Linked DNA regions of Xenopus tropicalis. The main gene of each other region encodes a partner of the protein of the gene in region 4 in a complex. Links are inferred from orthologs where the notes say so. Each region holds a gene or a part of one and is shown on either strand. Other genes may lie near its edges.

The links.
Region 1: the proteins of thoc6 (region 4) and thoc5 are in contact, whole or in part, in a cryo-EM structure (PDB 7APK), measured with the Homo sapiens proteins. The link is inferred for Xenopus tropicalis from reciprocal best matches to the Homo sapiens genes THOC6 and THOC5. Residues at the interface, in NP_001334633.1 of Homo sapiens: Val5, Pro6, Ala8, Val9, Pro10, Leu11, Gly12, Gln13, Val16, Phe17, Leu20, Gln21, Leu23, His24, Met25, Thr26, Phe28, Tyr45, Tyr80, Asp94, Glu125, Val126, Pro127, Glu128, Asn130, Gly146, Tyr170, His172, Glu188, Trp222; in NP_001002877.1 of Homo sapiens: Pro406, Gly407, Asp538, Ile539, Val540, Asp541, Ala542, Gly543, Leu544, Ser575, Ile576, Ser593, Asp596, Arg599, Glu602, Gly603, Asn606, Val607, Tyr609, Arg660, Phe662, Arg663, Gly664, Pro665, Ser666, Arg667.
Region 2: the proteins of thoc6 (region 4) and thoc1 are in contact, whole or in part, in a cryo-EM structure (PDB 7APK), measured with the Homo sapiens proteins. The link is inferred for Xenopus tropicalis from reciprocal best matches to the Homo sapiens genes THOC6 and THOC1. Residues at the interface, in NP_001334633.1 of Homo sapiens: Leu57, Ser58, Ser59, Glu60, Pro312, Glu313, Lys315, Thr330, Asn331, Gly333, Tyr334, Ala336; in NP_005122.2 of Homo sapiens: Ser227, Pro229, Ile230, Asp231, Tyr232, Leu234, Arg236, Val270, Ser273, Tyr274, Asp309, Leu312.
Region 3: thoc6 (region 4) and sarnp share a complex: the UniProt entries of both Homo sapiens proteins name them as parts of the transcription/export (TREX) complex. The link is inferred for Xenopus tropicalis from reciprocal best matches to the Homo sapiens genes THOC6 and SARNP.
Region 5: thoc6 (region 4) and thoc2 share a complex: the UniProt entries of both Homo sapiens proteins name them as parts of the transcription/export (TREX) complex. The link is inferred for Xenopus tropicalis from reciprocal best matches to the Homo sapiens genes THOC6 and THOC2.
Region 6: the proteins of thoc6 (region 4) and thoc7 are in contact, whole or in part, in a cryo-EM structure (PDB 7APK), measured with the Homo sapiens proteins. The link is inferred for Xenopus tropicalis from reciprocal best matches to the Homo sapiens genes THOC6 and THOC7. Residues at the interface, in NP_001334633.1 of Homo sapiens: Asp229, Trp232, His245, Thr252, Gln268, Asp269, Gln284, Leu285, Ser286; in NP_079351.2 of Homo sapiens: Lys110, Arg113, Lys114, Gln117, Glu118, Ala121, Leu122, Val125.
Region 7: thoc6 (region 4) and chtop share a complex: the UniProt entries of both Homo sapiens proteins name them as parts of the transcription/export (TREX) complex. The link is inferred for Xenopus tropicalis from reciprocal best matches to the Homo sapiens genes THOC6 and CHTOP.

What each region holds. Positions count from the first base shown.
Region 1 is NC_030677.2:144,830,072-144,833,919, reverse strand, and holds part of thoc5 (THO complex subunit 5 homolog), read right to left. Parts: intron 3,103-3,848; coding exon 3,003-3,102; intron 2,907-3,002; coding exon 2,798-2,906; intron 2,223-2,797; coding exon 2,121-2,222; intron 1,241-2,120; coding exon 1,144-1,240; intron 819-1,143; coding exon 704-818; intron 267-703; coding exon 163-266; intron 1-162. UniProt on the Homo sapiens protein: Component of the THO subcomplex of the TREX complex which is thought to couple mRNA transcription, processing and nuclear export, and which specifically associates with spliced mRNA and not with unspliced pre-mRNA.
Region 2 is NC_030682.2:108,273,254-108,277,101, forward strand, and holds part of thoc1 (THO complex subunit 1), read left to right. Parts: intron 1-572; coding exon 573-639; intron 640-726; coding exon 727-777; intron 778-863; coding exon 864-934; intron 935-3,848. UniProt on the Homo sapiens protein: Component of the THO subcomplex of the TREX complex which is thought to couple mRNA transcription, processing and nuclear export, and which specifically associates with spliced mRNA and not with unspliced pre-mRNA.
Region 3 is NC_030678.2:138,198,950-138,202,797, forward strand, and holds part of sarnp (SAP domain-containing ribonucleoprotein), read right to left. Parts: intron 1,616-3,848; coding exon 1,564-1,615; intron 1,052-1,563; coding exon 978-1,051; intron 681-977; coding exon 652-680; intron 1-651. UniProt on the Homo sapiens protein: Binds both single-stranded and double-stranded DNA with higher affinity for the single-stranded form. Specifically binds to scaffold/matrix attachment region DNA. Also binds single-stranded RNA. Enhances RNA unwinding activity of DDX39A.
Region 4 is NC_030685.2:12,482,903-12,486,750, forward strand, and holds part of thoc6 (THO complex subunit 6 homolog), read right to left. Parts: intron 2,921-3,848; coding exon 2,849-2,920; intron 897-2,848; coding exon 794-896; intron 695-793; coding exon 645-694; intron 1-644. UniProt on the Homo sapiens protein: Component of the THO subcomplex of the TREX complex which is thought to couple mRNA transcription, processing and nuclear export, and which specifically associates with spliced mRNA and not with unspliced pre-mRNA.
Region 5 is NC_030684.2:48,807,039-48,810,886, forward strand, and holds part of thoc2 (THO complex subunit 2), read right to left. Parts: intron 3,384-3,848; coding exon 3,281-3,383; intron 2,926-3,280; coding exon 2,489-2,925; intron 2,089-2,488; coding exon 2,030-2,088; intron 1-2,029. UniProt on the Homo sapiens protein: Component of the THO subcomplex of the TREX complex which is thought to couple mRNA transcription, processing and nuclear export, and which specifically associates with spliced mRNA and not with unspliced pre-mRNA.
Region 6 is NC_030680.2:145,037,516-145,041,363, reverse strand, and holds part of thoc7 (THO complex subunit 7 homolog), read right to left. Parts: intron 2,819-3,848; coding exon 2,697-2,818; intron 1,824-2,696; coding exon 1,737-1,823; intron 552-1,736; coding exon 494-551; intron 1-493. UniProt on the Homo sapiens protein: Component of the THO subcomplex of the TREX complex which is thought to couple mRNA transcription, processing and nuclear export, and which specifically associates with spliced mRNA and not with unspliced pre-mRNA.
Region 7 is NC_030684.2:144,107,619-144,112,257, forward strand, and holds the start of chtop (chromatin target of PRMT1 protein), read left to right. Parts: upstream 1-1,810; 5' UTR 1,811-1,920; intron 1,921-3,790; 5' UTR 3,791-3,807; coding exon 3,808-3,872; intron 3,873-4,639. UniProt on the Homo sapiens protein: Plays an important role in the ligand-dependent activation of estrogen receptor target genes. May play a role in the silencing of fetal globin genes.

The DNA.
Region 1 (3,848 bases), on a different chromosome or scaffold from region 4:
GCTGCAAAAAACGTAATGTATCAGAGAATCTAACTTTTAGTACCAGGTTCACCTCATATTTTTAGAGAACTTTATGGAGTAATTGCAATCCAATGCAAATCCCCAAAATGGCCATCTGCTCAAGAATCATGTCAGTTTATAAAGTGAAAAGATTTTACTCACTAGATAATCCTCATAGGTGATGACATTCCACTTTGTCAGTCGAGATATAACCTTGGCTGGGAAAAGAGTTTGGCACTCCAAAGATACAGGAATGCTACCATGTTCTGAAATACCAAAGAAATGCTGTCATTGGGATCTATTGCCTGTAAACACCTGCTGTGTACACTATTAAAGAAATCCTACATACACATCCAGTAAAATAATAGTTTTATACAATGTAAACCCCTCACAATCCCACCCATTCACCATTTAGTATACCCTAAATATACTTTGTATCTCCTCCAACTTCTGGTTTTGCCAGTTAACACATCACTACATCTTGTCCTATATTGGTGTCCCTGTAACCTAATATGCCCACCAATGCCAGCAGCTAAGGCAGAATACGTTGTGTGGAAGCTACAAAGGAGATTCAGGGACATCAGTGCTATTTGTTTCTATACTGTTTTCATGCAACTGAACACATATCCCAATTATACTTAAGCAAATGGAAAAACTGAGCTAAGACTTAAAAAAAAATAAAATAAATAAAAAAAGTACTTACCCAAGGAGGCAAACTGCCGGTGCAAAGACAAGCGTGAAAGCAATCTGGCTCTCAGCAAGTTAATAGTCTTCTCCATGTGACTAGCACTGAGAGCATTGTCTGCTATGACTGCAGGCTGTAGAGAAAATGGCAGAGATAAATGTTGGTATGAGAGAACTCTAGGGAATTGTTAGTATAAGCATGTGTATTTAGGTACACTATAAAAATGGATAACTTTAGAAGTTATAGTTATTGATGCAGATTTCAAAAACACTATAATCCCCTTGATAAAGGATTTTAATGCAAAATGTCAAGGTTTCTCATTGCCATACATCTGATTTTGCAGTCTTTTGGAATGCAGTTGTTACACTGTATAGGAAATCTTTATGATCTAGGAACAGCTGCCCAAAAGAAAGGCAAAGCAGCTGAAATTAAAAGATGAAGTCTGCTTATTTTTTTACCTGCGGCTGATCCGTTGGAAAATGAAGTCCTCCCATTGTTTGGACCCATATATATGGGTGTCCCAGTTCAGATATATAGTCATTAAGGGACAAGATTCTGCAAACAAAATATAAATATATTATTTCACCTGTCTGGCATGCAGCCTCCATTTATTACCTAAAACTAGACTTGCAGTTTATCATGACAAAAAGCAGACTGTACAACCGACACCACCATTAATATAAAAGTTTTAGTTTCATAGATAACCAAGTACTTTATAGGATACTATAAAGCCTGGTGAGCAGCAGGTAGCCAGGGGAGGTTATTATTCCACAGACTGAAAGAAAACCACTACTGTTAAACAGGAAGACTATTTCCCCACACCACTTTAGGGTTGGGGAATTACCTCTTACTACACACAATCCAATCAGTATGTACTGATGTAATGTGTAAAATGGAAACAAGGCAGAACTAGGTAACAGAGGAAAATTCCAACAGAAGAACCAATGTGGTCAGTAGAAAGCCCCGTGTCTCACTACAGAGAAACATATTTAACAGTATCAAAAATCCTATTTTCTTTGTCATCTCAGGGGGACATAAGGAACATCTGGGGACTTAACACAGCAGCCCCAGCAAAATCAGGGTGAAATACAAACTGTGAAAGTTGGTGTCCTACCTCCTGAGGGGTGGAGCTTAACCAAGTATTCCCTGTGCCACCCTGAACTGAAAAAAAGTTAACTTATATAACTTTTTACATAAATTTTAATACATTTTACATACATTTGAAAAGCACAGTTCCCTGGTGTTCTTATTTGTTTAATCAGGTCTATAAAGGTAGTAGAGCCCAGAAAGTAGTTCAGGTTAGTTTCCAGAGTCCAGTTAATGCAGACAGGAGCTGAACCCCACTCTACCATCTCACTCCAAACTCTAGAAATGTTGTTGTTAACGACATTGATTTTCACTTTATCTCACGGCAGTAATAAAATGCAGAACATACCCGATTTTATCAAACTGGTATCTGTTTGCTGGATTTGGAGTGGTCTTTCCATCATCCCCTTGGTATAAACAACTAAGGATCAAATCTGGATTCAGTAGGTCACTTGTAAGGAGGTAAAGAGAGACAAAATATGAGCACAACTGTCTCTACATGTTGAATTTCTCACCTATTCTCATCTATACTGGCTATATTACATTCTTGGTAAAAGTTGGCTCCTCATTGTTTAAAGTTTTAAAAGGCAGATTAGAACTTACTTGCTTCCTTCCTAGACATTGTTTAACAACAGAGGTAAAGTTTTCACAGGTTATTTTCTGACCAAGTTTTTAGTCATCAGCTGCAAATAGAGAGGCTCAACCCATTGTACACTCATTAATTCAGGTGCTTACACTGGAACACCTTGTACAAATTTGCAAAAAAAGAAATCCAGCGGCAAATAGTTGCTATGTAAAAAAAGTTTTACTTTATACATAATGGTCAAGCAACATAGTCAAAGGCTCGATAAAGGGCCCAGTTGGGCCCAAACGTCGCTTGACCTATGTGGGCTAAATAAAACTTTTTTCATATTGCAACTATTTTCAGAGTGCCACTAGATTTTTTTTTTTTGCAAGTTTTCAGTCTCCAACCCTATACCTGTCTCTAACTGTACTTATGGTGGTGGAATACTGTGCGTGTCTTACCCAGCAGAAATGGCAGTAGAGAGTTCTAAAGCTGGCTGAATTTTGACTTTTACGGTCAGGATGTTGAGGTTCATGAGAAAGTAAAAAGTCAGATTCAGAGTGCTTCCTTCTGTAAAGATTAATTAAAAATTTGCAACTATAAAAAACACTGAAATCACTGATCATGCCATTCAAAAAGTTTTTTTTTTTCTCAACTATGGCTTACCTTTGCACTTCAATGTTAGGGTGACACAAAGAGGATGCCTTTTAAGCATTTCCTTCCTCTTGTCATCTAACTGAACTCCAAGTGTTGGGCGTCGTCGCTTCTAAAATTTAACAAATAAAAAAAATTGATTTTTTTTTTTTTTTTTTTCCCAAAGGTCATCCTATGCTTAAATTACCAACCTTTCGTGTGAATAGTGCTTTAACAGGATTGCATCAAAGCTGGTAGTATATTCTGAACACTGCTGAAAATGCCTACTAAAAAACTACAAACTAAAACAAAACTATCTACCTTTGGGAAAAAAACATCTAGAGCCAAGTTCAACCAACTGTAGTTAAGTAATTAGTTTGTTGATTCTCCTTTTCACTAAATGGTAAGAATATCTCATTAGTAACTAGCTTGCTGATCCTCCTATTGACTAAATGAACAAAACAGTTAGGAGTGGCAAAACCTGACAGCGTGCATGCATGGTTTTTATATAAAAATAAAATACAAGTGCAATCAAGTGCTATTGTGTTTAAAATGCGACAGGATAAAAATGACAAATCCCAATAATGATTAGGTATAGCTTTTACCACTAGGAGATAGAACAGAAGAATAGAATAGAAGAAGTTGCCAAGACAAAGAAGAATCCAGCAACTTAGGCTAATGGCACGACAAATGTAACCTACACCTGTATGTGTAAAATGACAGGAATGAATGCGATCCAGCTATCACTGCACACAAGGGGCAGATTTAGGCCAGAAAATGCAGTGTGATTAAAAAAAGATTTCACAGTAAGAAATACAATGCACTTTTCTCTCAATTGGATACAATCAGATTGTAGTACACAGGAACCACATGAACAAC
Region 2 (3,848 bases), on a different chromosome or scaffold from region 4:
TACACTGGTTTCCAGCCGTTTCCAAGAGATTAAAGAATTTGGCCCATTTATAGAACAATGCTTAGAAAATAATTCTATTTTATCTTTTCAGTACATAGTAATGCAAAAGAGCATAATCTTATGCCAAAAAGTGCTGTTCAAGGTCTGTTGCGTTGCACATACTGTACCTCATCTGCCTAAAGACCCTCTTACGTGACATTTTCAGATTGTGTGTTGCGTGGCCATTTCTAAATTGTATATAAGAATACCCACAGTGAATGCATTATCCCTCTTTAAATTTATAAAGTATCTCGCTGCCAAATGCAACTCTAAATCACATTGCTGTGTAGGATGGTCTGTGTTGCCAAAAGGCTCAACTTTGGCTTGGGAGTGGTCTTCACACAATGGCAGGTGCACTTTAATCTTAGTGGCTCTTATTCTAAACCTGAATCAAACATGGAACAGTAACAATGTATTTGTATCTAAGGTTTATAATAAGTAGGGAAAGTATTAAGGGCTCGCTGAGAATAGGCTTGATAGTGTATAGATTTAAGGTATAGAGCTTTTCTTACATTGTCTATTTTGTATTTCAGTTCCAATTATATTCTTCTAGATGAACAGTCTCTTTGGATTGAGGACACCACCAAGCTTGTCCATCAGGTGTGTGTAACTATAGAGTATTACTGTTTTTATGAGTCATTTCCTACCTGAAAACCAGATGTGATTCATTTCTCTCCCATCATACAGCTGCTTTCTGAAACACCTCCAGTTGGGGAAAAGTTTTCTAAAACAGTGGAGGTAAGATTATAATTTCAGCCTTCTGATCTGGTGAATAGCTATACAGTATTATAACTGATCTAACGGAATCAGAAATGTTGTTTCAGCATATACTGAATACTGAAGAAAACTGGAACGCATGGAAAAACGAAGGCTGTCCAAGTTTTGTAAAGGAAAGGTAAGGCATTTTTTTTATTTTCCAACTTTTTATAAGTTTTTACAATACATGTAAACCATAATACTTACACGGCTTACTTTATCAGTATCTGCAAAGAGAAAAGTAAAACATTGTAACTTAACAAATAGAAATGTCACACACATAACTATAGTTATAGTATTGACACCAGAAATATTCTTCCATATTTTTTTGAGCTTCCTGTATGAATGTTCTTTCCTAAATATTTATTGGAATTGCCATTTCATATACTACATTACTGCTAATTTCTCTCATCAGCTGGGAAATGTTTGGAACCTCCTGTTTTTTCCAATTTCTAGCAATTAAAAGTCTGACTGTATTTGATAATTGAAAAATTACTATTTCCAGAGCTTTGTTAGGAATTTTGTCATAAATGTTAAATAGCACCACTTCCGGAGATAAAACAAAATCTTGTGAGATGAAATTCGATATTAGAGAAAATGCTGAAGTCCAGAGGGATTGGATAGTAGAACAGGACCACCATAATGCGCAACATTTCTCCTATTTCATTGTTACACCTCCGACAAGTTAATACTCTTTTAAAAAATCTTTACTCCAACCTTTTAAGACCCGTTTTCAGAATGGGTTCCAAAATAGAAATTGGTGCCAATGGAGAAGGAAAAGGAGAGTATAATGGATCAATTATGCTTTTTCTCAAATTTTGACTGCAACTTTCAATGTAGGAGGCAAATCTATGTAATTATTCTTAACACCTTTACCATCTGACCATAGTAGTTTATCCCATGAAAATAGTTTCAGAAGAGTAGTTTCAATTTCTACCCATTTTTTTTGTGACTGTATGGATAAATAAGTCTATAGTTTGTATATTGGCTTTGAAGTATTTCTTTAGATCTGGAGCTCCAAGACCTGCTTTATTTCTTTGAAGAATAGATTTGGATACGCTAGGATACTCTTTCTTATTCCAGATAAATTGGTAAAACACATTAGTAATCTTACAAAAAAAAACAAACTGGAGGGGATTGAAATAAGGATAGTACAAAACAAATATAGTAGTTTAGGTAACAACAGCATTTTTATAGCAGCAATTCTTCCCATCCAAGAAATAAATAAGGGCTTCTATGTAATTATTTAATCTTTAAAAGCTTGAATCAATGGCCCAATTTTTCTGGATGTTTTGTTAATTTTATACCCAGGTAAAATGTATAATCTTTCCGCCAGTGAAATTTAAACTGACGTTTTAATGGAGATTGATCTTTAAGTGGTATGTTAAACATCATAGCTTGAGATTTATTCTCATTTATTTTATAGTAAGAAATGTCTCCAAATTCTTGTAATATTTGTTTAAATTTGGATAATCTCTCTTTAGGATTAGATAGTACTATAATAATGTCATAGACATAGTGTATAAACCTATATGATGATTTTTAGAGCCGATTCGTATTGTATGTATTAAATCTATAAATGATTATCTTTAGAGACTTGTGAATTGTATGTATTAAATCTATAAATCTAGTATTATCAGTGGATTGCCTGCCTTTAATAAAACCCACTTGGTCACTATTCAAGACCTCAGTTAGAATATCTTGGAACCCATTTGAAAAAAATTTTGAATAAAATTTTAAATCACAGTTTAGTAAAGAAATTGGTCTCTTTGGTATCTTTGTTGGGTCTTTCCCCTCTTTTGGTCTATCCGTTATTGTAGCCTGTAGTATTTCATCCGGAAAATGGCCTCCTGATAGTATAGTATTAAACAATTCTGTTCATTTTAGGACTAGTAATTTTGCAAATAACTTGTAATATAATACTGGTAAACCATCTGGTCCAGGCTTTTTTTTTAAAGGAGAAGTTTTTATGGCATCTTCTACTTCTTGTTGAGAAATCGTGAATTCAAGATATTTATTTGATCTGCAGTTCAAATATCAGAAATTAATCTATGCTTTGAGGATTGGGTTGAATCATTGTATTATCCTCTTTTAAATTATAGGTAGGTAATATTGAGCAAACGCTTCTGCAATATCTAAGGGGTTAGATATAATTTTACCATTATCCCTCTTATTTTAGATTTAACTTTAGCTTTTGTGGGCACACCATTGAGTATTCATAGAAGTATCATTAGATGAATTAAGTTCAAAATATTCTTGTAGACATTTAGAATAAAACTCTCTTTTAAATTACTCAATAAAGCCTCATTTAGTCTTCATATACTTGTTGGAATATTTTTTGTGGGTTCATTAATATTTCTGAGCGTGATCTGACCACGTTATAGTACCTATGGCAGCTTTCTTTAAGCCTTGGAGCAGTATTTTATCTACGTAAAAAAAAATCATTTTTGAATACATATCGTGAGGATGAAAGTAAAATGTATAATCCCTAGTTTTAGGATTAAAAATCCTCCAAACATATAAATTATGATGGAGTTTAATCTTAGTGAAACCGGTAACTTTTTCTTTTATTCTACCCTTTGTAGATTTTTGAGGTTGGAATTTATTAGAAGTAGAGGTAGTATCTAAATTAAGATCTAATATTAAATTAAAATCTCCACCTATTACAGTAAACACACTTTTGTTTGGTAATTTTATTAAAAAGAGGGGTTAAGAAATTAATTTGGGATGAGATAGGGGCATAAAGATTGCATTATTCAGCTTACAAATCAAATACCTTCCCCCAGGGTCAGACTCTATGGGGCAGATTTATCAAAGTTTGATTTTCGTACCTTTAAAAAGCACGATACAAAAAAATTGTATTAAATACGATTTTTTCGTATTGTGCTTTTTAAAGTGCGAAAAAATCGTATATGCTTCATTGCACTATTAAGTGCTGTTAACTTCAGTGGAGTGCAAACTTTCTTTGACCTGCCCATTGCTGACAGGCTGAGGACACCCTCTAGATCAGTGCTGTCCAACTGGCGGCCCGCGACCCCCCTCTGTGTGGCCCC
Region 3 (3,848 bases), on a different chromosome or scaffold from region 4:
GTACAAGGAATTATACAGAGGCCAAATGCAGTACAGGTACCAAAGTAAAAAAAGTTTTCTTTTTGTTTTAAACTTTAATACTCTTTGGGCTCTTTGCTGCCCACCTTGCAGCCACCGCTTTCCATATTTTTTGCAATGGCAGACACAAGCACTATCAAGCAGGAATTATAAGGTCTTATTTTCATTACCAAGCAATCCCCACCAAAAGCACAATCAGGGTTGCCCGGACCAAACCAGAATGTAAAGTGTCTAAGGATTAGGTTTCCTTAAATGTACAAAAACTAAATGTTGGCAATGTTGCAGAGCCAAGTCGTGCATTGGTCAGTTAATGATGTTTCCCTTCTGTAAATAGAAAATGTAATGAGGTGGAAGGGTAACACTGTTTTTATGCTACAAACACTGCGTTCTCTGTAAACAGTATGTCTGGTATCTTCAATATACACTTTTTTTGAACACTTCAATGATGATATGATTTCTAAAAGATTTTTAAGAACTTGTATAATTAGCCTGAAGGAAGGCATTTCACTTTGAATAGGTAAAAAAATAATAAATGCAGCCAATCAGAAACAAGTATACAAGAATCTACTACATATTCTCACATTATTTTGCCCAAGAAATGGTTTAATCATACAGAACACCCAGTTTTCTTACCTTTCTTGTCTGAGGTTGAAAGGCCAAACCTTTAAAAAAAAAAAATTAAGTGTAAGAAAAAAAGATATACGAGACCTATTTCAGTTTAGAATTTTAATATTTCACATCCACTCTAACAGATGTGAAATGTTAGCATTTTTTCTACTTAAAGGGGATGTTCATCTTTAACTTTTAGTATGATGTTGACACTGGACATTCAAACGTGATTTGCAACTGGTATCCATATTTTTTTTTTTTTTTTTACTTGGGCCTGAACAGAAAGATGAGGAATAGAGTAACAATAATAACATGGTAACCTTTGTTTAAATCAGTATTTCAATGCTTACCGGATGGCTCGAGCTGCTTTTTTGCTGTCCACACTGGCAGGAACATTGAACCTCTCAGCTCTTTTTTGAAGCTTCTGTAAAAGCAGAACATTTGTTAATGGTTACGTCCAAAACAGTTGGTGCTACAGACAACTATTAATCAATAAGCTCAGACGTTTAAGGTAATAAATATCAGGCTTGGAAAAAGCAGACATACATACCTTGTTGTTTCTGCCAGTGTAAAATAGCACTACATAGTATCAGCACTTTGTCTGCTGACAGAGAAATGTATTGTATGACACTCAACCTATATACCACCGCCCTTTATATTAAAACTATGGAGGGATTACCACAGACAAATCTGTAGCAGTTGTGTGCTACTTACTAACTGGGTTATCTGTCCAACCTGTGTATAACACAGCTGCACTGTAAATTCCTCCACTGTGCAGAAAACTCTATTAAAAACAAGAACTGTGTTGTGAATCTAACACTTGGTCACATTCAGGGCAGAGGGAGCTCAATAAGTGCTAGCCATACAGGCAGCACTTGGCATATTTAACATATACAGGTAAGCATCACAAAGAAGATGTACACAGATTTTACTTACATCAGTTTCAGAAGCACTGCTGGAAATTTTCACCAGCTTCTTTTCTGCATTTCTGTTGGAATTAAAAAATATATGAATAGCAGCAGGTCAAAGCACTGATAAGACAAAATGGTGTCTTTGTATCGAAAGATCCATCTTTCCTACAAAACACATTGTCTATATATATTTTTTGGAAAAGATAAGTCTTGGATGTAAAGCCACTGATTGACTAAACCTCTCTTTATAGCTGAAATAGACAAATAAAGTTGACATGCATGTAGTAAACCTTAGCTCCAAAACATAGCAACGAAGCCAGATTTGAGAAAGCAAAACATCAATATCAAAGTGTTTATAAGGCAAGTATTACTGCCTCAGAGGCAAACAAGTGTGTTAAATACAAATAAAGTGGACAGTAGATTACAAAAGAAAAACTACACGTGTGAGCTGGAAAAGGGCATAAAAGCACATTTTCTTCCTAGGAAGTTCCCAGGCACTAAAAGGAAAAGAAAAAGAAAGTGAAGTGGTGTCAGCTATTATAAAGCCCTCTCCCATAAAGTGTGGGTCGTAACACCCCCATAAAGGAAGAGTTTCTTGCTCAGGGGGAACGTTACGAGGCTTTTGTTCCCAAATCCTGGAAGCAGCCTTTCCCATGGGACAGTAAAAGATTTAACAACTTTCACAGGAAGCACAATGAGGTCAGAAGACAGGACGTGCTATTCTACTCACCCCAGTGAAGTAAATACCTAGTATATGTTTTAAGACTCATCAAAAGGAATTTTATATGTGCTATTTTCTTTGGGATCAAGTTCAGATAGTTTAACTAAAGGTCAAAAGACAATCAGTCCAGGCAATACTATTTTACTGTGGGACCACCAACGCTGTGGCACTACAATAGATGCATATCCAATATGGTACTTCTGGCACCCTTATACAGGCATGGCAAGCTGCAGCTTTCCATATGTTTCTAAACTATAATTTTCAACATCCTGTCATCAGCCTTGAGGATGCTGGGAGTTGCAGCATGGCACCATCTGGTAGGCTGCAGATTGAATGTGGCTTTAAAGAGGACATCACCCTAAAAAATAATTTTAAGTCCTTATCCATCATGTAGCTGAGCATAATAAGATTTACTTTACACTATATACATTATTAAACTAGGTTTCCTCCTGTCCTGGGGTTCACAATCACAATAAAGAGGCGGTGCCATTTGGCAGTCATACTTTCTAAGCTTAAAGTTATACAACAGATTGGCAAAACTGACGGACAAGGCGCCTCCTGTCACTTGATCTGTAATGCCCCATTGACACACTGACAAGGTACACTGGAACTTTAGTTCAACTGTCTGTAAAAATATCCCCCAGTCCAAGTTACATACATTCCCTTATATTTGTGCAGTATAGTTGATATCAGTCAAGCCACCTGACCAAATCTGGGCATGTACTGACTGCTTCACCTAGATATTTAACAAAAGAAGGGGGTGAGTTAAGGGAAATAACCGTATGCTCAGAAAATGATTCCAAAACTCTTGTCTGCTGAAAAGAAAGTATTTTCAGGGTAAGAAAAACATTTGCGCTGCAGTCTGAATAAAGGATGCTGATCTGATAAGTCTTTGAACAGTCTGTGTACATCCAAGGGGTACTGGCTGATGGGAAACCTTTATATCCCCAACAAAGGTAAATACAGAAAGGGTCCTATTTTCTGTGACTTCTCATTACATTTGATGGTACACTTTAAACTAGCCAAAAGGGAAAATTTACAAAGGTTATAGTAATAGGGGATAAAAGCTCCTGCAGCTATACGATCTTTTACCAAAGCTTGCAAGATGAAGAGGAATTGGCAGTTGTTTAGGATGATGCAGAAGCTCTTTTTTTATTTATTAAAAAAAAACAACTTTTTAACCAATGACTTCTCACTTATCTGTATACTAACTGGTTATAACAATGACAGAAAAGACCATTTCTTAAGCCTATACCTTTCTTTAGTCAGTAGGTACAGAGTGCCATCTTGTGGACAGAAACATGCAAATGTAGTTATTACCATGAATCTCTTGTAGCTCTTGGCATATCCAAGATAGTCCATAAACATCCCCCACTTTAATTTAACCATAACTGGAATTCTAAAGTAAGATGCACATCAGGAAAAAACAAACTACATTTTTAAAAGGTTTAACAAAGTTTATAACTGGTTAGAAATATACTCCCTTGCAAGCTGGGTCCTACCGCCAGACTTCCTGCATGGGTGTGAGTGTATGCCAGGCTTGGTTTACAAAAACTTAACATGCTGATCTAGTGCAGGGCTGTCAAAAC
Region 4 (3,848 bases):
TCCCTCGTTCCCTTTTCTAGGCTGTGGGCAGGGCCTCAAGGGCTGTTTTGGTTAACGAAAGAGGATTTTCTAATTCTGTGCTATGAAGGAGGAGGGGAGGAGCGCCCTCTGCTGGCTAAGCAGCAAACAAAATGGCAGCCTGCCTGTCGCTGTGTAAATAATGCACCTAAATCTATTGCATGCTGGGACATTACATATCATGTCAACCCCAAAAATAATTGTGTGCCTAATAAAAGAAAACATGATTCTAAGCAACTTTTCAATTAAATTCCAACTTTAAAAGTTATGTGTAAATGTAATTGCTACTTAAAGCAGCATTTGCTGAACTCCTGGGTGTTACTTTTTAAACAATGTTGCAAAGGTCTGGCTCCTCCAGAAAGACAGGTCTGTCAGGCTGCTGCCTCGTGTAACATTGTTTCATATGCCGGGGAATCGAAAAGGCCAGACACACACTGCTTCTAATAGAAATTACATATATACAAATAACAGAAAACCACTACATATGTATAATGAATGTATACTGCAAAGTTGCTTAGAATTTTGTTTTCTTTTATAAGGAATTTTGGGTTGACTTGCCCTTTAATTCCACCCAAATCGTCTTTATAGGGATAGTGCAGTGGGAACCTCATATTTCTCAGTGTTACCTCATATTTATAGACTTCAATCTTGTGAGTCTGAGCCCCATTTCGAAGATCTGCAAGAAGAGATGATGATGAGGAGGAGGAGAAGGAGGAGGAAGAGGATGATTTAGACAATATCAATAAATACTATGATACTCCATTCACACTCTCACCCCATATCCTGACAGTTCCATCTTCGCCGCCGGACACGCACTCCCTCTGCTGCTCACGCAGGGCCAAGCAGTGAATATAATCCTCGTGTCCTTCCAGCGCCATCTACAGACCAATGAGACGGTTAAAGGGGAACTTTGCCTTTACAGAAACTTTGCCGATTAGAAAAGGAACTTTTTCATGGACCTAATATGGTTTTTAAATGAATAGCCTTCCTATTCTGTCTCTTGATGGCATGCAATTAAAAAAAGCTATTTGGTTGTCAGGGTCACTGCCCCTAGCAACCAAAAAAAAAACTTCTTCAACATTAAATTTAAAGGGGTGGTTTACCAATATGTTCTAAGCAACTTTCCAATTGGTCTTCATTTTTTTTATCTTTTATAGTTTTTGAATTATTTGCCTTCTACTTCTTCCTCTGTTCAGCTTTCAAATGGGGGTCACTGACCCCGGCAAAAAACTTTTGCTCTGTGAGGCTCCAGTTTTATTGTTATTATTACTTATCTTTTTATTCAGCCCCTCTACTATTCATATATCAGTCACTCTCTCAAACCACTACCTGGTTACTAAGGTCAATTGGACCCTAGCAACCAGAGAACTGCTGAAATTCTAACCTGGGGAGCTGCGGAACAAAAAGTAAAATAATGAAAAAACTACAAATAATAAAAAATGAAGACCAATTGCAAATTGTCTCAAAATATCACTCTCTACATCATACTAACGTTAACCCAAAGGTAAATGTGCCATCCGGTTAGTAAAGTCACTAATCCTAAGGGGTATGTTACAGAATGGCATATTCTTAGCACCTTTGCAATTAGTCTTCACTTTTTATTTTGTATAGTTTTGAACTATTTGCCTTCCTCTTCTGACTCTTTCCAGCTTTCAAATGGGGGTCACTGACCCCGGCAGCCAAAAACTATTGCTCTGTGAGGCTCCAGTTTTATTGTTATTATTACTTTTTATTACTTATCTTTTTATTCAGCCCCTCTACTATTCATATATCACTCTCTCAAACCACCCCCTGGTTACTAAGGTAAATTGGACCCTAGCAACCAGAGAACTGCTGAAATTCCAAACTGGAGAGCTGCGGAACAAAAAGTAAAATAATGAAAAAACTACCAATGATAAAAAATGAAGACCAATTGCAAATTGTCTCAAAATATCACTCTCTAAAGTTAACCCAAAGTTAAACAATCCCTTAAATGTGCCATCCGGTTAGTAAAGTCACTAATCCTAAGGGGTATGTTACAGAATGGCCTATTCTTAGCACCTTTGCAATTAGTCTTCACTTTTTATTTTGTATAGTTTCTGAGTTATTTCCTTTCGTTTTCTGACTCTTTCCAGCTTTCAAAAGGGGGTCACTGACCCCGGAAGCCATACAGGATAGTTTTGTGAGGCTAAAACGTTGTTACTTTTTATTACCTTGCCTATTCAGGCCCTCTATGTTCACATTCCAGTCCCTCATTCAAACCAATGCCTGGTTGCTAAGGTAATTTAGACCTAAGCAATGTGCTGAATTTCCAAACTGGAGAGCTACTGAACAGAACGCTAAATATTTAAAAAACAACAAATAATAAAAAATGAAGACCAATTGCAAAATGTCTTAGAACATCACCATGTACATCATACTAAAAGTTATTTTAAAGGTGAACAACCCCCTTTCACTACGTATTTATATATAGGCACCCAAGTTGCCGCCCTCTGGCCCTAAGGTGTGTGTATAGAATGGGTTCAAGGTACTTGGCAATGGGAAGAACCTGCTGCAGGGTGTGGGTGTTTAGACAACAACAGACGTCAGCCCCACACCCCGTATGACATAAGCCTCAAGTCCAGGAAGCAAAACTACCAACAGTGCAGATTTTATGGTTTTATTATTCTGATGACCAATCTGACTTCTCAGGTTCATTTCTATCCATGAACAATAGCAGTGAGGACCTGAGGGAGCTGAGAGAGCCAGGAGGGCCTGTGGGCCACATTCAGCTCATAGGCTTCCATTGGCTGCAGCACGTGCAACAGACACCAATCACAAGACTCATACTAAGCCACACCCCCATACTTACCGTAAAGGTTCCACTCTCCAAGTCCATAGAATGAATGTTGCATGTCCCCCCAGCAAGGAGCAAGGAGTTATCCTGAGAGGAAATAGCAATGAAGGAAACAAAATCAAAACAGTGAGGAATAGGCATGAGGGCTTTCCATAAAGGTGTTTAGGGGGGAGGAGTTTAGAAGTAAATGTAGGGAGAAACAGAGGTTTGGGGTACTGGTTGTACTGGGCAATAAAATGGGTGGGTGGTGTAAGGCTATAGGTAGTTACCCTAGTGAGCAGGCAGCAGGGCAGAGTTCATCAGGGTGATATTTAGAGGTGAGAAGATAATGACTAGGAATGGGTTTTATGTAAGTAAGTGGGGGCTGGTTGAACTGCAGCTTGCTGGTGGGGGGAGTTAGAGTAAAGCAGGGCCGGAACTAATGGGAAATGATGGAGATGGGGGGGCGCTAGGCAGGTACTTCTTCTGCCTACCCTTAAGGTCCCCATACACGTTGAGATTCGCTTGCTTGGCTAGATGGGTGGGCGATATCGGGGAGCGTGTAGGTAAAAAAAAAAAATAATAATTAGATCGTTTGGCCCCAGGGCCATATATTGGCAGCAATGGGGCAGTCGGTTCGGGGGCACCTGGCCGATCGATATTTGGCCGATTTCAGGCCAGATATTAGTCAGGCATGCCCCTCGTTTATGCCCCTACACGGGCCGATAAGTTGCCGAATCAGTCCAAGGGACCGATATCGGCAGCTACAATCGGCCTGTGTATGGGGACCTTAAGTCAGGACTCTCTTGGCCCCACTGTAATGCTCCCCCACACACGCTCATGTGTGCACTCTTTAGTGTGCACGTGTTGCACATATGGGGGGGTGAGGAGGCCGACCAGGTGGCCTAGGGCACCCAGGGGGCTAGGCCCACCTCTGGAGTAAAGAAGGGAGGGATGGAGGCTGCTGGGAAAGGAAGATAAGTGAAGACGGGTAAGGAGAGGCAGGAAGGTTATTAGAGAGGAGAATGAAAAGGTC
Region 5 (3,848 bases), on a different chromosome or scaffold from region 4:
TTGAATAAACCCAAGCAAGCATTATAGGTTCAGCTTGACAAAGGGGTTAATGTAAAAATGTCCCTAGAGGGAGCTTGGGATATACTCTTGACAGGACACTGCAATAAGGCTGGAGGAGTAATAGTGTACAGATGGTCATACACTACAGTCCCTAACCTTTCTTACTTGTGAGCCACAGTCAAATGTAAAAAGACTTGGAGAGCAACACAAGCATCATAAAAGTTCATGGAGGTGCCAAACACTATCAGCTTACAGGAGGCTGTATTTGGTAGTAAATCTTGTTTTTATTCAACCAAAACTTGCCACCAAGTCAGGAATTCAAAAATAACTACCTGGTTTGGGGGCAACAAGAGCAACATCCAAGGGGTTGGTGACATGTTGCCCCCCAAGCCAGTGGTTGGGGATCACTGCACTACAGGATCATTTCACTTGAAGGGGTTGTTACTTAATTTGACCAAAAGCAACAGAGCTAAGGGGTGGAGTGCTATACAAACCAATTACAAGCCTTATTTACAGTGTCCTGTTCCTGTAGATATGAGCTTCACTCCATTTAATCTCATTGCCCACGCCTCCCCCCAATATTTGGAACTACAAAGTAAAAATATAATACTTTTTGCACCTATTTCAACTCTATTGAGAAACAAAAATCATATATTTGTGACAGTAATGACACAAATATTATTCCCACCCACTTAAGAAATACCGGCATAGGCTGCCTTTTGGAAAATCTGACCAATTAGCCTATGGCTTCATGGCTTGGATGTGTATAATTTACCCAAAGAGTCAAAGCCATTTAGCACTGGTCTGACAAACCAGTGGCCAAAATAAAAACATGGGCCTATTGAAAGCACTTTGCAAGGTTTTTTTTTCTTCATATAAGAAATCCCAAATGTTAAAGGCCAAAAAACAGAAAAATATACAGAAAAAGTAACCTTTTAGAAACATTATGTATAACTAAAATGTAATTTTCTACCAGCCATATTACCTTACCCCAAGGGAGAGGAAAATGAAAGAGAAGGGGGGGGGGAAGGTACTGGAATCCAGAATTTGGAATTTAGACATCACATCATGGCCATCAGAATGGTTTCTCCCGGAAATATTGTTGGGACTTACAGTTTGAATGGTTCAAAATAAAAGATCTCACAGATCCCATGGAAACAGCTGGCTTAGAATCACAAAAATAGGGGGAAAAAATAAAAAAGGTGCATGGATTTAGCTACCATTAGTCTTCAAAGCCGCCAACGGACATTTGTTGCTTGGATGCCAGAGGTTTTTGTCTCAGATTGGAGAGTAGTATTAGGTAACTGCCACATCTGGTTTTAACGCAGTGTACGGACCAACACAACAGGACAGAATTACACTTCCAGGGGAGGAACTAAAGCTGAATGCGCTTCCAAATTACACAACTATAGAACAGAGCATCAGACTTTTTAAATGGAACTCTTTCAGGATTCCTTCTTAGAAGGCACATATCGGCAGTGAAGCTCAAGATGCCTGACGATTTCGTGTGGTATTTCGTGCATTTCTGCAACATCTCAGGATATCTTCAGTGCAATGGATTCTTCAATATTAAGTGTTGAAAAATATATATATATAACAATATGCTTGACTCCGCTCAAAGGAGGACTGCTTGTCGTTAGCACACTTTCTCAAAGCCAATAAAAAAAACGAACTGCTTACAAATAAATATTCAGGCACTTCTCCACCAAATCGGTCTTGAACAAAATTTCATTTTTCAGCTATATACAAAAATAATGCTGCTAGGTCCTTGAAGATTTTTTTTTTTTTTTTATTTTATAGAAAAATGATGCAATTAGAAAAATAGTCCATACTGGGCAAAAAACTTTTTACTGTGATTTCATGATTCAAAATACCAACATAAAAATGTAATTAACTGAAAAAAACAAAAACAAAAACACTTCCAGAGACTTCCATTGGACATTTGGCACCAAACTCGAAGGAAGATGGATGCTGGAACTCCACACAGGTTAGCCTATTATGGATACAGCCTTCCTCATGCTATACTAACCTTTACTGCTGAGGAATGTGATGGAGAAGAATGTGTATCAATTTTGCGTCGTTTTTGTTCTGGGGGAAAAAAAGGGGGGGGGGGGGGGAGCTGTTAAAATAAATGTAAATTACACCAAAAAAAACAAAACATGCAATTTGAGAAATCATTCTTTTCCTGTCCTTTCAAACTCATCCTATCCTGTTCTAGGGCTCCTCTAACAAGGCTATCTTTCTACAATAGACCAAGACATCGATAAGCTTTACAAAGTATAATAGGGTGGCCTGGATAGGCAACAGATATATAGAACCTAACAAGTGCACTTTCTACACTTTTGTCATTTTCTTCCACAGAACCTATTTTAAAAAAACTGCTGTGTGTTGTAGGTATCCTCCTTCCTGGAAAACTGTCCAACCTACATTCACTTCCTAATCGACTAATAATAGGCCAACATTTAACTAGCCCTCCTTGAAAACTTACCCCTCTCAGTTTCGGTCATGTCTGTACGGGGAACAGGAGACTTCAAGGACCCAGATACAGCTGCTTTATCTCCGGATTTGGAATTTTCCTTGGATTTGACTTCTTTCAATGCCTCTTTCTCTCTGGAGAGCTCCTTCTCTCTCTCCTTTTCTGAAGGGACTTTGGACTCGTTGCTCATGAGAACTGCCTTCGATTTGTCTTCCTTCTGAGACTTTTCTTCCTTCTTGGCCTTCTCCTTTTCTTTGTCAGCTTTGGGAGTCTTCTCCTTGGCATCACGCAACTTTTCATCTTTGCTCGAACGGTCTTCCTTGGCTTTTTCTTTTGCCTCCTTTCCTGGTGCCTTGGTCTCAAGAGGTGCTACTGGTGTTTTCTCTCGTTTGTCTTTCTCCTTTTCTTTCCCAGTTTTATCTTTGTCTTCTTTTTCTTTAAGCACTTTGCTGCATGGAAATAGTTTGGATTTTAATGCAAAATCTCCTAAATTCTGTAACACTTAAACCTGAAACAATAACTAATTCCTTTATCCATTTCACGAATCCCAAGAGTAGCTGGTCTTTCCAAGAAAGCAACAAACTGTCCTCCCGTTTCATTTCCCCCCTTAACTTACACTCTAATTAAGCATTAATACAGTAATCTCAGCATGACATGGGGTCAGGGCAATTTCTCATTAAAGGGACACTAAAGAAAACATATAAGCTACTTCATGATAGATTCTAATATGACTAACACAGCATAGTTGTGCAACAGCCCCTAACAGCTCTGTGCTTAGAAGTTTAACAGCAATATAATATGTACCTAGAAGAAGCGCTGTTCCCATTGCTTGCAGTCACCTTTGGTGCTGTGCTGGCAGCTTTAGTAACAACTTTTAGAGCACTCTGAGATTTCTCCTTGATTTTTTCTGACAAAAGAAAATTGAGAAACATGCATCACCATGACACCTCTAAATGTACACACAGAATTACTCATATTCAACGGAATGGGCCAGCTAAGAGGATTCATCCATTTAGATGTATTTTACTAATTACTAATCTTTAGTTTAGTGTGTATACTGTATATGTAGTATATGCGCTTTTGTAACATGTACTAGAATGAGAAGTGAATGTACCCAGATACACGATGAGCAAGATAGGGTCTTATAAGTCAGCTCCTTTGCTGACATAGCTTTATAAGCACTGAAGACAACATTAAAGGAGAAGGAAAGGTAAAAACTAAGTAAGCTTTATCAGAAAGGTCTGTGCAAATACAAACATAAGCACTCACAGAAATTCTGCACCGAGTTCTCTTTCAAAAGATACAGGATTTCTTGTCTGTTTGTTTTCCGGTGCCAGAGACACAGAGCTCTCTCCTCTCTCCTGCTCCCCCC
Region 6 (3,848 bases), on a different chromosome or scaffold from region 4:
AGCTGTCTCATTCAATGGAAATCATTATTAGGAACAGATCCATATATATTTTCAAAATCATTTGAAAAACATCTCCTTAATGGAAATGAAACACTTATTTTTTCAATTAAATATATTACTAGTTTTTAAATTATTCATTGACAAAACAGGATCACCTGCTGGTCACTTTAGCTGAACAGGGAACAGTTGGCAAAAGTTAGTGAGAAGAGGAAAGTCTTGTGATGTTGTTCTGCTTAGAACTGGCCATAGAAATGTCAGATGGCACTTCTTGATAACTTCATTTTCTGAGCAGAGCAACATCAAAAAAAACTTTCCCCTTCTCATTAACTCAATTTTCTGCCAATTGTGTCTGGCAGCCAAAGGATCAGCAGGTGGAGCTGTTGCTTCACATTCAACTGCTTTAAAACTGAAGAAAAATAAAAATTATATATATATTTATTTCCCTTTAATTTTTCAGGGGCGTGCATGCAAATACAACGGGTAGAGTACTTACTTTAGGGTTTCGTGCCTGTCTGGATGTTGCTGAATAACTTTGGCCAATGCATCATATTCTGGTAAACAAAATGACAATGATTTTTTTTTTTTAAAACTTTTTTTTTTATATTAAGTACAATTAAAAAGGGGATAAAAAATTGCAAGATTGCTGTTGAAAACCTGTAGGTTAAAGCTAACATATTTCTATGTATGCCCCTTTTGGAGATACTTATCATACCTTGACCATCACAATGTTTAGACATCAACTAATTTCCTGCAGTGTTTATACAGGGCTATTAATGTTGCTTCATGCTGTAAGCTTTGTAGAATACAATAGTGTTTTACAGAGCTGTATCTGCAGTGTAACCTTGTGCCATTTAGCCCTATTTCAATATGGATAGCTACCCCTCTGCTACACAGTAGCATTATTTGTATAAACTACAGTAGTGTTTCAGAAGCAAACACATAACTTTTGCCATTGCAGGGCGATAGTACATTGTATTCTAATTACTTTGATACATTTTCATTTTTTGGTGTTAGTGTACCCCTTATTGGGGCAGAACAGCCCTATTAGGTTTATTTAATGGTTAAATGATTCCCTTTTCTCTGTAATAATAAAACAGTACCTGTACTTGATCCCAACTAAGATATAATTACCCCTTATTGGGGGCAGAACAGCCCTATTGGGTTTATTTAATGGTTAAATGATTCCCTTTTCTCTGTAATAATAAAACAGTATCTGTACTTGATCCCAACTAAGATATAATTACCCCTTATTGGGGCAGAACAGCCCTATTGGGTTTATTTAATGGTTAAATGATTCCCTTTTCTCTGTAATAATAAAACAGTATCTGTACTTGATCCCAACTAAGATATAATTACCCCTTATTGGGGCAGAACAGCCCTATTGGGTTTATTTAATGGTTAAATGATTCCCTTTTCTCTGTAATAATAAAACAGTACCTGTACTTGATCCCAACTAAGATATAATTACCCCTTATTGGGGGCAGAACAATCCTATTGGGTTTATTCAATATTTATTTGATTTTTAGCAGACTTAAGTTATGGAGATCCAAATTACAGAAAGATCCCTTGTGCGGAAAACCCTTGGTCCTGAGCATTCTGGATAACAGGTCCCATACCTGTACCAGTAGTGTCTATCAGAATCTGTGCATAACAGACACAGTAGGGGTTTATTTCACTTACAACAAAATAAGCCAGCCTCATTTAAATAATTTTAGTTCTTTATTTATTTATGTTACCTTGGCGATTCTTTCGGATTCGCTTGGCTTGCAAGATCTGTTTTTTGCATTCTGCAATTTTCTCATGTGCTGCAGCAATACTACTCTCTGGAACATGCAAGAAAAGATATATTTTGAATGGTGAAATTATGTCAACTGAGCGTTTAGAAAGTTTAGTAAAGATGTCAGCAAAGCTTAGCAATATCAACAATAATGTATTAAAATGTATATTCAGCCTACTGTTTTTTAATTGAAATTTTTTTTTTAAAAAAACACATGATTACTGAAGTCTGGATATTTTAGAGTGTGGTAGGAAACTATTACCCGGAAGAAGAAGCTTTCCTGCTGCAAACAACCCAACCATGTTGTATGTCTGTAGTGCACTGCTAGAATCAATCAGTAGGAGGAAATGTGTGACTTGTGAGACTTACAGCATCAGCATATCGTAATATATAAACATTTTTTAGCAGGTTTATATATTGGTGACAGTTCCTACCAATAAGGCTCCGCTTTTTCCTCGCTGAAGGAGAGGTATTGGAGTGGGGAGGTCGGAAAGCTGGGTCCCTGGAGTGCTTACAAACCTCCATACAGTGTGAGGGGAAATAAAATAGTTATGATCCCATATTAGGCTAAAGAGGCTCTCAGCCAAGTCATTGTCCTCTGATGAAGCACCCAATGGTGCGAAATGCGTTAGGAGTGGGCACCATGAGGCACTGGGATGTACCTTTCCACTGTTTGGTATAGTATGCTTTTGAATGGTTTGTTTAAATTTTGAGCCAATAAATGGCTGGCCTGTAGCAGGTATCACATCTTTAAGACAGCAATTTAGAAAAGCTTAATGACATTAAACACACAAGAGTACCTTCCAGAGCCAAGGCGCAATTTTTCACTTTGCGTGAAAAGCCAAACCAGGAAAAAATGCTAAAACAACAAACTGCCATATTTTACTTAAATTTTATTTAAACTGGTAAAATGCCTTACCTATATCAACATATATTTTTTCATAGTTTTCCATTTCCCGCAGATTCATATCATGCACTAGAAGTGTTTTTCCCATGGAAAATTCACATTGAGACAAGGAGCTCAGCATGCGTTGGTACTGGCTGTACATAAAAGCACAACAAAAACACAATTACTATTCAAGATACTATGTATTGATCCAACTTCAGATTGGTAATTAAGGACAGGTAATTTTTTTTTCAACAATATTTTACATGCAAGTTGAAGAATCTGTCAAGATCAAACTTTAGTTAAAGTGCAACTTAATTGCTTTCAGGGGCGGTTCTGCATTGGAGAGGGTGAAAGATGGGCTGCATCACTAAGGGCATAATCAAGCTCTCTGCACTAAAAGAGCCAAAATTTAGTTTAATAACCAGAATTCTGTCTCTTAAAGACACCAAGAGTGGCTTTTTGCTGCCCCTGGAACTTGCAGTTCACTGTCGCCTAAGACAAAGTACTCAACTTGCCCCATGGATGGTAGCCCAATTGCTTTAAGCCAACATCAGAGCTAAAAATTAGAAGTAATGTGGCAGACAAGCTCTGCAGTCCAGACTGTACATATATACTTTACTTTTCAAATTCAGGACCTGTGTTAACCTGTCAGAGATGGGTAAGAAGGCAGCTTGTGCACCCACTGAGCATTTAGCGAGCATTCAGAGTAGGTCACTTAATAGACTAACAGTGCTTAGTGATGACATTACAGTAGTCAGGATCTATTTTCTGATTTATGGATCACAACATAAGAAGACAACACAACATAAGAAGTATAGAACTGAATGCATAGTTCAGATAGGGCTATAGCATTCATCTGAACAGATGACTAAAGCAAGTTGTCAAGTTTTTGGCTAGTTATCCAATGATCCTAGTCAAGTACCTTGGGTGCACTTTCAAAAGAAGATGCACAACAGCCAGGGAAAAATGTTACATTTTAGTTAACTGGGAGGTGCCTAACAAACCTGAATCCCCATTAAGGTTTCCCTGTACATGCAAATTATTTGAACAGTATATCTAATTGCTATTGGAAGTAATTTCTGTCCTTTTCCCAACTACAAATATTATTAAAACAGTGTAGCAGTATTCAGCTGTCCTCTCCAATTCCCACAATCCCTTGTATGTTACGTGATTAACAGACCT
Region 7 (4,639 bases), on a different chromosome or scaffold from region 4:
TACCACTCTCGCTAGGTAGTACTTTACTTCAGTTTTTGGTTCTGGGGTCTGTTTGAGAGCTGCTTTATCTACCACAGGTCTCAACCTGCACATTACCTACTCCATACCCTAAGTACTTTGTCTCAGTTTAACCCAATGCATATTTCTTGGAATTTGCTACCCAGTCCAGGTGACCTTGCCAGGTTTTTCTGTAAACTACCATGTCCTCCAGATAGGCAGCAGCATAACCCGTATGAGGGCCCAACTCCTTACCTATGAGCCTTTGGAAGGTAGCAGGGGCTCCATGTAGGCCACATGGCATCATGTTAATTTGTTATAATCCATAGTGGGTTACAAAGAAGTTTTGAGTTTGGAATTTTCCACAAGGGGAATCTGCCAATAGTCTAAGGTAGATATATATACACTGCCTCCCCCAAGGAGTCCATTCGCTTATCCACTCAGGGCATTGAACTTGCACAGGTCTATACAAAACCTTATTGGCCCATATGGCTTAGGGACCAGGACTATGGAGCTATGCCAGTCACTATTAGACTTTTGAGGGGTGAGATCTGACTTTCACCCCTGGGTCTCTTCCTACTTTATATGTCTTACCAGGGAGTTCCGAGAACACGTCTGTAAACATAATTTCTCTGGCCACTGTGAGTTGCTGGCCCACGGGTACCTGGGGGCTTCTTGCTCCTTTACCAGTGGGACGATTTTGCCCCAACACACAGGTTCCACAGGGGAGGGCGCTGGTATTAGTGAGGGATAGAAGGGCAAATCCATTCCCGGTAAGGGGATTCCCCACTTGTAAATGGGACAATGCCATAGTGCTCGGTTACCTGCCCCCCCCCCCCACAACTGATTACCCAGAGTTCCACATTGACATGAAGAATTAAGGACAGGGTGTTGTTTATGGACGGCCAGGTACCATCTGGAAATATCCGCTTAATACCGGGTCCCAGCTTGGATACACATTCCTATTGGTTTTTGCTGTCTGCTCTCTGCTTCAAGACAACATAAGTGACTTTATTACATTCTTGGGAATGAGACCGGCTTCTAACAAAGACATTAGTGTGTGCTGCCTAACGGAGACATTCATGAGAAATGGTCCATTATATTAGTGTGGAACATGGGAGTTCAGTCCAGTACCATCAGTGGGTTCTGCTAGGCCTGTCCAGTTGATATGTAAGACCAGCGGCTGTGAAAATAAGACATTATAGAATTAAGTCTAAAAACAACTGGACTTTTCTGAGTTTACATTTCACCACTCATCTGAGTGGCTTCTTCAGAACTGAAGAAGCCACTGGGATGAGTGGTGAAATGTTTTCAAGAAAAAAACTCAGAAAAGTCCAGTTGCTTTAGACTTAATTCTGCTAGATACTGTATATCATGGCCTGGATGAATGGGAATGTTCATAGACACATTAATGCTGCCATTAAGCAGCACATGTAACACAGTTCAGTTCAGGACCTGTACCTCAGAAACAACAAAGTTTTGTTTTTTAGCTAATAATAACGTCAGATATAGTTTAGCAACCCCTACATTCTGAGATTCTGCAATGTAAAGAGCGCAATTGCTGAAAATGAAACTAGTCAGTTATGTAGGTGAGTGTTTTGCGTGCCCATCCCAAGATGGCGGCGACCTCTCGTTGATTTGTAGCGCATTTCCCTTCCCAAGATGGACACCCATCCCGGGCAGGTATCCATAGTAACCATCCACTAAGAGGCTCGGAAGGGGCGGGGAATGGAGATACGTGGCTCGACGCATTAAAGCCGCCTCCATTTTGCCGGCGTAGGGTCAGTGTTAGGCGCCATTTTGTGCTGTGTGTCGGGAGTAGAGCGATAGGCAGGGAGAGTCAGTGCTACCGTAGCCCTCTTGCTTTTATTTGGGGGGATCCCGTCCGTTAGCCAAGCGCACCCCGGACTCCAGAGCCGCTCGGTGAGTGTGAGGGGAGGGGGTACCGGGCTCGGTGCTGGGGTATGAATGGGGGGCCGGGGGTAACTGCTTCCCACGCCCCTGGGCATAGAGGCCTGGGGGGCTGAGAGGTATAGTTCTGTTTATGGGACTGATTCTGGGGGGGCAGGGTACTAAAGGGCTTTGGGGGGCTGGGAGGGGGGGCCAGGGTACTAAAGGGCTTTGGGGGGCAGGGTACTAAAGGGCTTTGGGGGGGGGCAGGGTACTAAAGGGCTTTGGGGGGGGCAGGGTACTAAAGGGCTTTGGGGGCAGGGGTACTAAAGGGCTTTGGGGGGGGGCAGGGTATAAAGGGCTTTGGGGGGGCAGGGTACTAAAGGGCTTGGGGGGCAGGGTACTAAAGGGCTTTGGGGGGGGGCAGGGTACTAAAGGGCTTTGGGGGCAGGTCTAAGCTTTGGGGGGGCAGGGTACTAAGGGCTTTGGGGGGGGGGCAGGGTACTAAAGGGCTTTGGGGGGGGCAGGGTACTAAAGGGCTTTGGGGGGGGCAGGGTACTAAAGGGCTTTGGGGGGGGGGCAGGGGTACTAAAGGGCTTTGGGGGGGGGGCAGGGTACTAAAGGGCTTTGGGGGGGGGCAGGGTACTAAAGGGCTTTGGGGGGGGCAGGGTACTAAAGGGCTTTTGGGGGGGGGCAGGGTACTAAAGGGCTTTGGGGGGGGGGCAGGGTACTAAAGGGCTTTGGGGGGGGGCAGGGTACTAAAAGGGCTTGGGGGGGCCAGGGTACTAAAGGGCTTTGGGGGGGGGGCAGGGTACTAAAGGGCTTGGGGGGGGGCCAGGGTACTAAGGGCTTTGGGGGGGGGCAGGGTACTAAAGGGCTTTGGGGGGGGGGCAGGGTACTAAAGGGCTTGGGGGGGGGCAGGGTACTAAAGGGCTTTGGGGGGGGGGCAGGGTACTAAAGGGCTTTGTGGGGGGGGCAGGGTACTAAAGGGCTTTGGGGGGGTGGGCAGGGTACTAAAGGGCTTTGGGGGGGGGGAGGGTCCTAGCCGCTTTTGGGGGGCAGGGTACTAAAGGGCTTTGGGGGGGGGGCAGGGTACTAAAGGGCTTTGGGGGGGGGGCAGGGTACTAAAGGGCTTCTGGGGGGGGGGGGGCAGGGTACTAAGGGGCTTTGGGGGGGGGGGCAAGGGTTTTAAAGGCTTGGTTGGAGAGGGTTAGTCTTTGGGGGGGATTGGGGGGGCAGGGTACTAAAGGGCTTTGGGGGGCTGAGCAGGTATAGTTCTGTTTATGGGACAGTGATTCTGGGGGGGCAGGGTACTAAGGGCTTTGGGGGGCTGAGAGGTATAGTTCTGTTTATGGGACAGTGATTCTGGGGGGGCGCAGGGTACTAAAGGGCTTTGGGGGCTGAGAGGTATAGTTCTGTTTATGGGACAGTGATTCTGGGGGGGCAGGGTACTAAAGGGCTTTGGGGGGCTGAGAGGTATAGGTTCTGTTTATGGGACAGTGATTCTGGGGGGGGCAGGGTACTAAAGGGCTTTGGGGGGCTGAGAGGTATAGTTCTGTTTATGGGACAGTGATTCTGGGGGGGGCAGGGTACTAAAGGGCTTTGGGGGGCTGAGAGGTATAGTTCTGTTTATGGGACAGTGGTTCTGGGGGGGGGGCAGGGTACTAAAGGGCTTTGGGGGGCTGAGAGGTATAGTTCTGTTTATGGGACAGTGGTTCTGGGGGGGGCAGGGTACTAAAGGGCTTTGGGGGGCTGAGAGGTATAGTTCTGTTTATGGGACAGTGGTTCGGGGGGGGGCAGGGTTGGGTCGGTACCAGTGCTGCTCATGTCCTACACTCCCTGTTTAGAGTAAAGGGGACTGTGTGTTACAAACACGTGACTAACTTTGCTGTGTCCCTTGCAGGTTTGCCAGACTTCAAGATGGCCGCCCCGTCTGCATCTAAAGTTGTGCTAAAGAGTACCACAAAGCTGTCGCTGAATGAGCGGTGAGGAAGCCCCACAGGCCGGGCAGCTGCTATAGCATATGTAGCCCGTGTCTCACACTGCCTCACATGGGCATGCCTCGCCCCGTGCCCACCCCCCCTTAAACACAAAAGTGGGCGCCCGCTGCTGCGGCAGCTGTACCACAGGGGGCCGGGCCTGTGTGTGAGATTGTCACTAGCAGTTGGTAAAGTATAATCAGGCAATGTGATACACTCACTCCCCCCCTTCTCTTCCACACGTATGTACATGGGTCAGAATCTCAGCTGCGGCCTGGTAGCATGTTACCTGCGCTGCGTTACACCCGCTGCCGTGCCCGGGGGGCGACACATGCCCGCGTGTGGTCGCTCCTGTAAGAGGCATGATTCGGGGGTCTCTCTCCCTGCCCAGAGGCCCTTTAACCTCGTTCTAGGGTCTTGTAAGAGGCAACCGCTTTGCTCAGTCCATTCCCTGCATGTGTCTGCTCTTGCACCCCCTCATTTCTTGGGGTCCCCCTGGGGTTTAACCATCCCATTCATGCCTTCCTGTTCCATCTGTACCCCTCTCGTGCCATGGTCTTTCCCGTAACTGGTGCAGTTGGTATTAAAGGGGAAGTTCACCTTTGAGTTAACTTTTAGTATGATGTAGAGAGTAAATTGCAATTGGTCTTCGTTTTTTTTTTTTTTCACTTTTTGTTCAGCAATGCTCTAGTTTGGAATTTCAGCAGTTATCTGGTTGCTAGGGTTCAAATTACCTTAGCAACCAGGTAGTGCTATATAGGTAGGAGAGGACT